2 linked regions of the Mus musculus genome follow. The protein of the gene in region 2 interacts with the protein of the main gene of each other region in a biochemical or structural test. Links are inferred from orthologs where the notes say so. Each region holds a gene or a part of one and is shown on either strand. Other genes may lie near its edges.

The links. The genes of interacting proteins can lie anywhere in the genome.
Region 1: of the proteins of Psrc1 (region 2) and Asb7, one has a biochemical effect on the other in vitro, tested with the Homo sapiens proteins (2 studies listed by BioGRID, with this or other methods). The link is inferred for Mus musculus from reciprocal best matches to the Homo sapiens genes PSRC1 and ASB7.

The regions. Positions count from the first base shown.
Region 1 is NC_000073.6:66,686,359-66,691,144, reverse strand, and holds the start of Asb7 (ankyrin repeat and SOCS box protein 7), read left to right. Parts: upstream 1-1,583; 5' UTR 1,584-2,045; intron 2,046-2,224; 5' UTR 2,225-2,322; intron 2,323-3,186; exon of another isoform or gene 3,187-3,261; intron 3,262-4,786. UniProt on the Homo sapiens protein: Probable substrate-recognition component of a SCF-like ECS (Elongin-Cullin-SOCS-box protein) E3 ubiquitin-protein ligase complex which mediates the ubiquitination and subsequent proteasomal degradation of target proteins.
Region 2 is NC_000069.6:108,382,416-108,386,948, forward strand, and holds the start of Psrc1 (proline/serine-rich coiled-coil protein 1), read left to right. Parts: upstream 1-1,422; 5' UTR 1,423-1,511; intron 1,512-1,820; 5' UTR 1,821-1,851; coding exon 1,852-1,870; intron 1,871-1,958; coding exon 1,959-2,016; intron 2,017-2,554; coding exon 2,555-2,993; intron 2,994-3,877; coding exon 3,878-3,992; intron 3,993-4,084; coding exon 4,085-4,321; intron 4,322-4,533. UniProt on the Homo sapiens protein: Required for normal progression through mitosis. Required for normal congress of chromosomes at the metaphase plate, and for normal rate of chromosomal segregation during anaphase. Plays a role in the regulation of mitotic spindle dynamics.

The sequences.
Region 1 (4,786 bases), on a different chromosome or scaffold from region 2:
TATGGGGGACTTTTGGTATAGCATTGGAAATGTAAATGAGCTAAATACCTAATAAAAAATGAAAAAAATAAAAAAAAAAGAATCTCTTTTTAAGTCTGAATAATCCCAAAAAAAAAAAAAAAAAAAAAAAAGAAGTTACTCCTGTGGAAGACATCAAAGGAATACTTTTTCTACGAGTATCAGCCTAGAAAAAAAAAGACCCAGAGGCAAATCGAACACTGACTCCCACCTGCAACAAAATATCGCAATAGGTTACATCATCCCCAGGAATCCAATTCCCATAACAGCTTTCTCTATTATGTGATCAATGCAAAACATAGAAACGGGAATCATTCTGGCATGACCTATACATTCCTGCAAAATCTGCAGTCTGCCCACACCCCCTAATCTCATTTCCATCTTTCTTCCCCTTACTCAGTCACAGTTCCCCTAAACTTATTAAAGTACCAAAGGCTTTGCACTTCAGATTAACTGCTTGTAAAGGCCTTCCCTCAGATCTTTGTTGGCTAGTTTTTTTTGTCATTCACAGAGCATAAATGTCATTCTCTGGGAGACCTGGCTCACAATCTAAGAGTCTAGCGCATCCTAGTCAAACTGTATTCCATTACTTTGTGGGTTTTTTTTTTTCCCTAATCATTCTGCAGTTTCATCTTCTCTTGTTAAGATAAAAGAAAAAAAAAGAAAGAAAAGAAAGAAAGGAAAGAAAAGTTCACAAAGTCTCCCCAACAACTAGAGTAGTGTCAACCCAGTAGACACTTGCTAAAAGAATCAATGCATTTAAACAATGTATCAATGTGCCCACTCTGCGCCCCCCTCCCCCGGCTCTTTTCATTCACAAGAAACCACTAGGGTCGCTATCCTCGCAGGCAAGCCCTTGAACCAGCCTCGCGATCCCAAAGAGCGTGCTCTCTCGCAGGCTGGGCGAGGCAGCCTGGAAGCTAACCGGGTCTCAGAGACCGACAGATGCACCAAACATCGCCACTCGCTTCCAAGAAGCACCGCAGAGCGACGACGAGTAGGGGCCCTCATCGCCTGCTCTCGGCCCTGTCGCCTCCCCCGTCGCTCAGCCTGCCACGCACGTGTCGCTCCAGCCACCCAGCTCAACCTGGGCTCCTGCTTACCTGGCTGCCATCCCGCCGGGCCACGCAGCCATCGCCCGGCCACTCGTGCCCACAGCTGCCTACTCCAGGCCACCGTACTCCACGGAAGGCCTTGCCGGCCCCTCCCTCAGCAGGCGTAGAAGCCCCATTCGTAGTACAGTGTCTCTTAGCAACCGCTTAGAGTCTCCAGGCTGGGGGTGGAGCCTGGAGAACCGCTGCGGGGAAGCGGAGGGGACGAAGGGAGAGCGACCAATCGGAGACAAGTCCCAGCCTCTATTAGCCCGCCTCCTCTAACTGTCGCGAATCCGCGGGCAGCTTTACGACAGCCAGGGGGTGGGGGCATCTGTGTGAGGAGAAGGAAGCAACCAACCAACCAAGTCGCCCCCACCCCCTACCCCAACCCCCACCCACCGCGGATCTGGTTTACGGCTTGGAGCGCAGGCTCCAGTGCGGCAGCTGATTGGCTGTCGAAGGCTTGGTCCCATCCCAGTGACCCCAAAGTGCTGGAAGGAGGGGGCGGGGGTGGCCCAGTGCAAAGTGCATCCCGAAAGCCCCCTGTCGGGACACCCTGCTGCTGACACTTCGGACCTGGTATGACTTAGGGTCTCTCTGTCCCCAGACCTCTTGAGTCCCTCGGTAGCTGAAAGCCTCCGGCCCGGCGCGCGGCAGACCCTTGGTCTGAGCCCCTGGACCGGGACTGCCCCCCCCCCCCCCCACCCAGCCGGCACTTCCTCCCAGCGCCCCTTCCCGGAGGCTGCTCCGAGGCCAAGACCGCCACCCCCAGCCTGATCGACTATCTGGATGCTCTCTGGGTTGGGGCCGTGAAGCACCCAGGAGGATCAGGAACACGGTGTCCGGCCCTGCCTGGGGTGTTTCTTCAATGGAGAAGTTGGTGAATGTGCAGGAGGCTGAAAGGAGAGAGAGGAGCTGCAACTGAGGACACAGGTAAAGTCAGTTTCTTCCTCCCTTGAGGGGAGGGGGCTGGCTGGGTGGGGGTTGGGGGAGAAGCCCTGCTCTAGCCTGCCTGCCCTTGCCACCCTCCAGCCTTTGCTAAGCTCCCCCATCCTCAGAGCCCTCTCCTCGCCCCTGGATCACTGCACCACTGATCGGTTTCTGTTTTCCAGGTTTGAGCTTGCTGGAGGACACTCGCGAGTAGAAGGGGTCTGGCCACCCACCAGAGGAGCAATAAACAGAGTGCTTTGGACCAGCATCCTCTTGAAAGGTAAAGAGGCAGACCTCCCTTCCCCCATTGTTTACTCCTGGCCCCTACCTCATTAAGTAACGCTTTATTTCCAGGGTGGTTGCCTGGGAATGCAAGCTTTCTTAGATCCTAGTTTCCTAGCAAAACCAGAAGCACTGCCCATGCCTGGTCCTTAACACCCCAGTAACTTCTCTAGCCCAGAAACGTCTTCTGGGACCTGATCAGAGCGTTTCCGTGTTTTGCATTATCTTTTGGTATACTGTGTCATGTACTCTGCTCGGAGGCTTGGAGACCTTTTTGTAGTTCCCCGCCTTACATACTCTCATAGGAATTCTTCAATTCCATGTTAATTGCTTGTTAATTCTGAATGATTCTGCTTTTAATTAAACCACAGTTTACTGTTTTGCCCATGTACATTTTTTTCTCTCTATGCCTCCATCAGGAAAGCTTCAGAGTTACCTAACTGATAATGACTTAGTAGCAGAAGGTGAACAGGAGGACTGAAACTTACAGGTTTTGAAGAAAATAATTGGATTTGGTTTTCCTGGAACAAGTGAATGTGTGTAGCTTAAGAATGGGAACAGTATAGGAACTGTATAAAAGCACTATTAGCCCCGGAAACAAAGTATATAGTTTACTATGGGTGTTCTTGTGTGTTTGTGTGAGAAAAGTGGATGGACACCAGGAGTTGTTATGAAGTGATACATAGTATTTGTTACATCTCTGGTGTTCTAGGTGAACTTATAAAAATTTACAATGTATCTCCTTGACAATAGTGGCACAGTCAGGAATTTTGAAACAAAGTATTGTTTTGGTATGTTTAGCTATCTGCTGCTTGGTTTTGGCAGTGGTCATTCTTGTTTTCTCATTTTAAAACCCTTACAGAGAATTTACTAGATTGAAATATAAGCACCTAGGTCATGTGCTCAGATTTCTGCTGCCTCCGAAAATGCCCAAAAGGTAAGTTTAGAACATTAATATAAAGAGAGAATGTATACAAATAAACCATAGGGAGAGATTATACAAGGACAACCTAGAGACTGCCTAATGAATAACTATAATATTTGTTATCACGTATAAAAAGTGACTCATTTATTTTAATATCTCAACTGTTTTTTGAAATTTTCAGTACAAAGAAGTATTCAAAATGGTAGGCTTTTATTCCTTTAGATTTTCTGTCTTGTCTGCCAGTGTGTGTGTGTGCTTGCACACACAAACACAAATAATATGTTTTGATTCTACTGATCTTTAAGACATAAAGATAATTTTAAGGGGCTCTGGTGGCTTGCACATTTTTAAGACTTGAAACTACACGCCAAAGAAAGTATGTCCTGAATAAAATTTTAAAATACTATATATCAGCTCTCTTTTCTCACTGTAATTGCTATATTTTCCTCCTCCTCCTCCTCCTCCTCCTCTTCCTCCTCTTCCTCCTCCTCCTCCTTTTCTTCTTCTTTTTAATTTCTGGTGCTTTGAGACAGGGCTTCTCTGTGTAGCTTTGGCTGTCCAGAAACTCCCTGTAGATCAGGATAGCCTTGAACTCAGATCTGCCTGACTCTGCCTCCTGAGTGCTGGGATCAAAGGCTTGTACCTGACTGTAATTGCTGTTCTTTCCAGGCTGAGGAGTGGGAATCTTGAGGCAGGAGGATGGAGAATTTAAAGCCAACCTGGGCCAGCTATAGAGTGAAACAGGGTTTTAAAGAACCAAATGAAAGAAAGAGAAAAAAAAATTCACCAGTGACTGTACTATGGAGAAAATTTAGGGTAGTATTCATATATGTGTGTGTGTAAAAATTTAGGGTAGCATTCATATATATGTGCGTGTGTGTGTGTGTGTGTGTGTGTGTGTGTGTGTGTGTGTATGAATATGAATCAAGGCAGAGTCTCAAGTTGAGGGGTGGCTGCTATTAAAATACAGAGCTCAGGGCTGGAGAGGTGGCTCAGCGGTTAAATATGGATCAGCACTATGATACCTTCAGAGTACTGTATAACTTTAAAAAATGGTAATAAAATATTTGGAGTGTATTTCAGAGATAAAATGCAGTATGTATTTTGTGCCTAGCCTTCTCAGTGGGGCGGAGGGTATTTTTCTGCTTTAGAGTTAACCTGATTTGCTAGGGCTCCTGAGTGAGGGTTCTTTTCACCTGAGATGATAAATGAGGATCACTGGTCAGATTTGTAAAGACAGAGCAGTATTCTGGTTCCCAGCCAGGTCATTATTGCTGCTTAAGTCAGAGTACAAGGATTTGCTCAGCTGACAGTGGGTTTCCTAAGATTGAGACAGAGATGTATAAACACACACACACACACACACACACACACACACACACACACACAGAAGGCTGTGGGGAGGTTGTAATAATTAGCATAATTGAGAATGTTTAGTCTAGGTAATTTAACATTTAACACTTTATTTAGTTTGGACATTCACTCAACAATATGACCAGCTCAATAGATTATATTTCTATATCTGACAGTCAACTTA
Region 2 (4,533 bases):
CCACCCAGAGTTTATGCAGAGGAACCAATGAACTCGATAAGATAAGCTTACTTACAGAGCAGTGGGTTAGGGGTGTAGGCACGGATGACCTTGAAGCAGCTCTGGTGACTTCCCTAAGGAGACTTCCCCTTGCCTCTTCCCACTTCTATCCTCTAGCCCCTTCCCCCAAACCATCTGCAGTTAGGACAGAATTGCATACAGCTGGTTGAGAGGGACGGCTGCATACTCAGGTGAAGGTCCCGTGACCTTCTGTCCCACCTCCTCCTTCTATGACGGAAGGTAAACCGTCCACAGGCCCAGCTGTGATGGTCTTTCCGAAGCAGGCGCAACAGAACTCCTGAAGATGCTTGCAGATGTTTGCAGATGTCTCAGAGGATGGTCCTAGAGTAGAGTGGCACAGGCCTTTAGTCCCAGCACTTGGGAGGTAGGGGCAGGAGGGTCGGGACTTCAAGGTCATCCTTGGCTATATGGTGAATTCAAAGGCCAGCATGAGCTACACTAGTCTCTGTCTCAGAAAATAGCAAAAAACAAAGGGAAAAGAAACAGATGGTGTGTGTGTGTGTGTGTGTGTGTGTATCAGTGAATGGAGAGGAGTGGTCTGGTCATAGCCAGTCAACAACATTCACAACAGCAAAGGCTTCTTTCCAACCTGAAGCAAGCCTAGGGTAGAAGGTGGTAGTGACTGTGCTCTAAGGATGCGCCAGACCATGCTATTTGCTGAACTTTTACAGGCCCACCATTAAAGTGCACACATCTCCAGCATCCTGGCGAAGAAATAAATTCTTCACACGAACAAGATCTTTAGCAATAGGTAATCCTTTTGCACTTAGGGAGCACAGCTCTGACATCTTTTATTATTATTACTACTTACTGTTTGCCTGGAAGAATGACTTCTTTGTTATTTATTTAAACTCTTAAATAGCTGCTCATACTCATCGTTTGGGGGTTGGGGTTGAAGCAGGAAGAAAAAAATGCCAGATATCTCAGAGAAGTGGCCTTATGCTAAATGAAGAAATCTTGTGGCTCCAGTGCTGGAGAGATGGTCTATTTGGTGGTCTCTGCAAGTACGCGAGAAACCCAGCAAGGAAACCCAGTCTCAGATGCTGGAATCCAGGAGGTGGGGGAAGAGGCGGGGCTCCAAGCCTACATTGGTTCGACAGTTCTCCCCTTGTCTGACTCGCGGTTAGAAGGAGGCGCTCCGGTACACGCCACCGCGCACTCACGGCTCCTCCCGCCGTTCCGCTGTAGCCCCCTACCCTTTTTGGGAAGTGCCCTTTGGTCCAAGGGACAATCTTCTCCGGCTGACATCCCGACTGCTCCCGACTCAGCCCTGCCCCCTTGGACTCACCAATCGCTGTGCGTTTGTGGCGGGACTGGGTGGAGCCTAAGAAATTCGAACGAAGCTCCGCCCCTCGGGAGCCCTTTCCCGGGAACTGGGAGATTGTAGAAGAAAAGCTTCCTGCGTAGACTGTGAAGCGAGGTGGGGAGTGGAAACCGAGTGTGCGCTGGAGGTGTGGCGGGGATGTGGTGCCGCGGAGTGGAAAATGGGTGGGGTAGGGGGGGAGCGAAATTTCGGATAATAGTAAGGATGGAGGTGAAGACTGACCGACTGAGGAGAGGCCAGGGCGCAAGTTGGCGGATTGCACATCAGGTGTCGAGCTTTCTGCACCTTTCCCTAATATAACGGACTAGTTTCAGGGACACGTGCTGATCCTGCTTTACCACCACCATGCCTCTTCACCCCAGCTAATGCACTCCGAGTCTTGATGGGGCCCTAAGGCAGGATGATAGACACCTGAGGTAGGCATGTTTTCTTTCAGGTCTAAGCCGACTCGCTTATGCTGGCTGAGCATGGAGGATCTGAAAGAGGGTAAGGAAGCCATGGAGGGAGGAACGGGCCCCTGAGAGTCTGTCTGTCAAGAACTGATAGCTGGCATTTATTCTTCTCATCCCTTCAGATATCAAGTTCATTGTGGACGAGACCTTGGACTTCGGAGGGCTGTCTCCATCTGACAGGTACCAGCCTATTTATCCATTTATTATTTTCCTCCGGCAATACATCTGTAACCCTTTACTGCTAACTTATGGGCCTCTAGAACCGTGGTTGGTAATCTAGCAGAGTATGGTACCCTCTGATGGCAGTAGTCTGGTAGAATTGGGCCTCTAGAACACATGCTGGTGAGAACAGAGAAGCTGTAGGGAAATTTAGGGGTAAATGTAAATGAAAGATGAATGTCCCTGGGCATGTTGAGGCATGCCCTGCAAACCACCCCCACACTCCTAGGATAGACTAGAGTGCAGAGAGGGGGAGGGAGAGAGGGAAAGAGAGACAGAGAGAGAGAGAGAGAAGGCAGGAGGGATTTTGAATTTGAGATCATTCTGTGCTATAGAGTTGAGACATTGTCTCAGAAAATGGGAGTAGAACTAAGTTTTCCTCACCTAAAAGCAGTTCTCATGGCCAAAATGGAGTCAGGGTTGGGGATTGTCCCCGACTCGCCGACAGGAATGCCTTCTGCTAGCTGTTGTCCAGCATGGTGCCATATTTGTTTTTCAGTCATGAGGAAGAAGACATAACAGTATTAGTGAGTCCAGAGAAACCACTTCGACGGGGCCTCGCCCATCGGAGTAACCCAAATGAAGTAGCTCCCGCCCTCCAGGGTGTGCGGTTTAGCTTGGGCCCGCTCAGCCCAGAGAAGCTGGAAGAGATTCTTGATGAAGCCAACCGCCTGGCGGCTCAGCTGGAGGAGTGTGCCCTGAAAGATCGGGAGAGGGCTGGTACAGGCCCTGGAAGGCCCAGCCCCAGAGGGAAACCCAGTCCTCGGCGGGAGACCTTCGTCCTGAAGGATAGCCCTGTCCGAGATCTGCTGCCCACCGTGAGTTCTTGGAGCACCCCACCTCCAAGCAGCCTAGCTGGGCTCCGGAGCAGTGATAAAAAGGGGTCAGCCAGGGCTGTCCGGGTGGCATCCGGAAAGAAGCCCTCCAGCATAAAGAAGGTGAGTGTGGAGAGTGGACATGCGTGCGTACACCTAGACAAGGTGCAGGAGACACTGAAGGCGTAGTGTCATTCCCATACAGGGCAGAGGAACACAGTTAATTATCCCCTGGAATTTTTAGGATTAAGCAAATTGGGTTGGAGACCTGGCCAGGTGGCTAGAGTTTGCCCAGCCTAAACAAAGCCCTGGGTTGGATTCTTCAGCATCACAGGAATGGATGTGGCAAATGTAAATTCAAGGTCAGTCCCAGGGGGCTATATGCTGAGCTTGAGACCAACCTGGGCTACTTGACTCCCTCATTTAAAACAAAACATAATAATAATAATAACAATAATAATAATAATAATAAGTTGGTGAGATGGCTCCGTGAGTAACAGCACTTTCCATCAGGGATGATGAAGCTGAGTTCAAGCCTTGTGACCTACATGTGAGGACTGTTGTCTACGTGATGAGCACACTCCCACATGCTGTCCTCTGACTTACACATGCATGTTGCCACATATGTGTATGTCACATACAGTAAAGAAATAAATATAAAGTGACTTTAAAAAAAGGAAAGTAGCCGGGTGGCAGTGGTGGCGCACGCCATTAATCCCAGCACTCTAGAGGCAGAGGCAGCCGAATCTCTGAGTTTGAGGCCAGCCTGATCTACAGAGTGAGTTCCAGGACAGCCAGGGCTACACAGAGAGACCCTGCTTTGAAAGAGGGGGGAGGAGGAAGGAAGGAAAGAAGGAAGGAAGGTAGGTAGGTAGGTAGATCTTGCTGGCTGATATCTTCCTTATAGGTTCTAGACAACGCCCTACCTACTATCTCCTCTCCTTAAGGCAGCAGAACACAGACTGCCTCCACTCTGGTCTTTTTTTTCCTTCCTTGTTCTGTTTCAGGAATCACCCACTTGCAATCTGTTCCCTGCATCCAAAAGCCCGGGGCGCTCTCCTCTTGCACAACCAATTCTTCCACCTCGGCGGAAAACTGGGTTCGGTGCCCGGACAACAGCAAGTGAGACCCAGGCAGCAGAGATGTGGGCGAGGCTGATGAGGGGAAGAGAGGAGCTGAGCTCCACCCTGACCCGACTACACTCCTGTCCACAGGCCCACCAATTCCTGTCAGACCAGTTCCACAGTCCTCAGCTAGCAACTCCCAATGTTCATCCCGGCTCCAGGGAGCAGCTGTCAAGTCTTCCAGTCGACTCCCTGTCCCTTCAGCCATCCCCAAGCCTGCCACCCGAGTGCCACTCATTGGGCGGAGTCTACCACCTGGAAAAGGTGCCCTAGCTCCAGATTCTCTCTCAACTCAGAAAGGGCATCCAAGCGCCATAGGGCACAGAGGTAAGATAGAGTGGACAAATGGTCAGGCTTAGCATGGTGGCACATTTCTGTAGTCTCAGCACTCAGAGGGTAGACACCAGAGAATAAGACGCTCAAGGCCAGCCTTAGCTATATAAAACCATGTCTCAGGAGAAAAAGAAAAACAAAATAGAGTCGGGCAGTGGTGGCGCACGCCTTTGATCCCAGCACTTGGGAGGCAGAGGCAGGCAGAT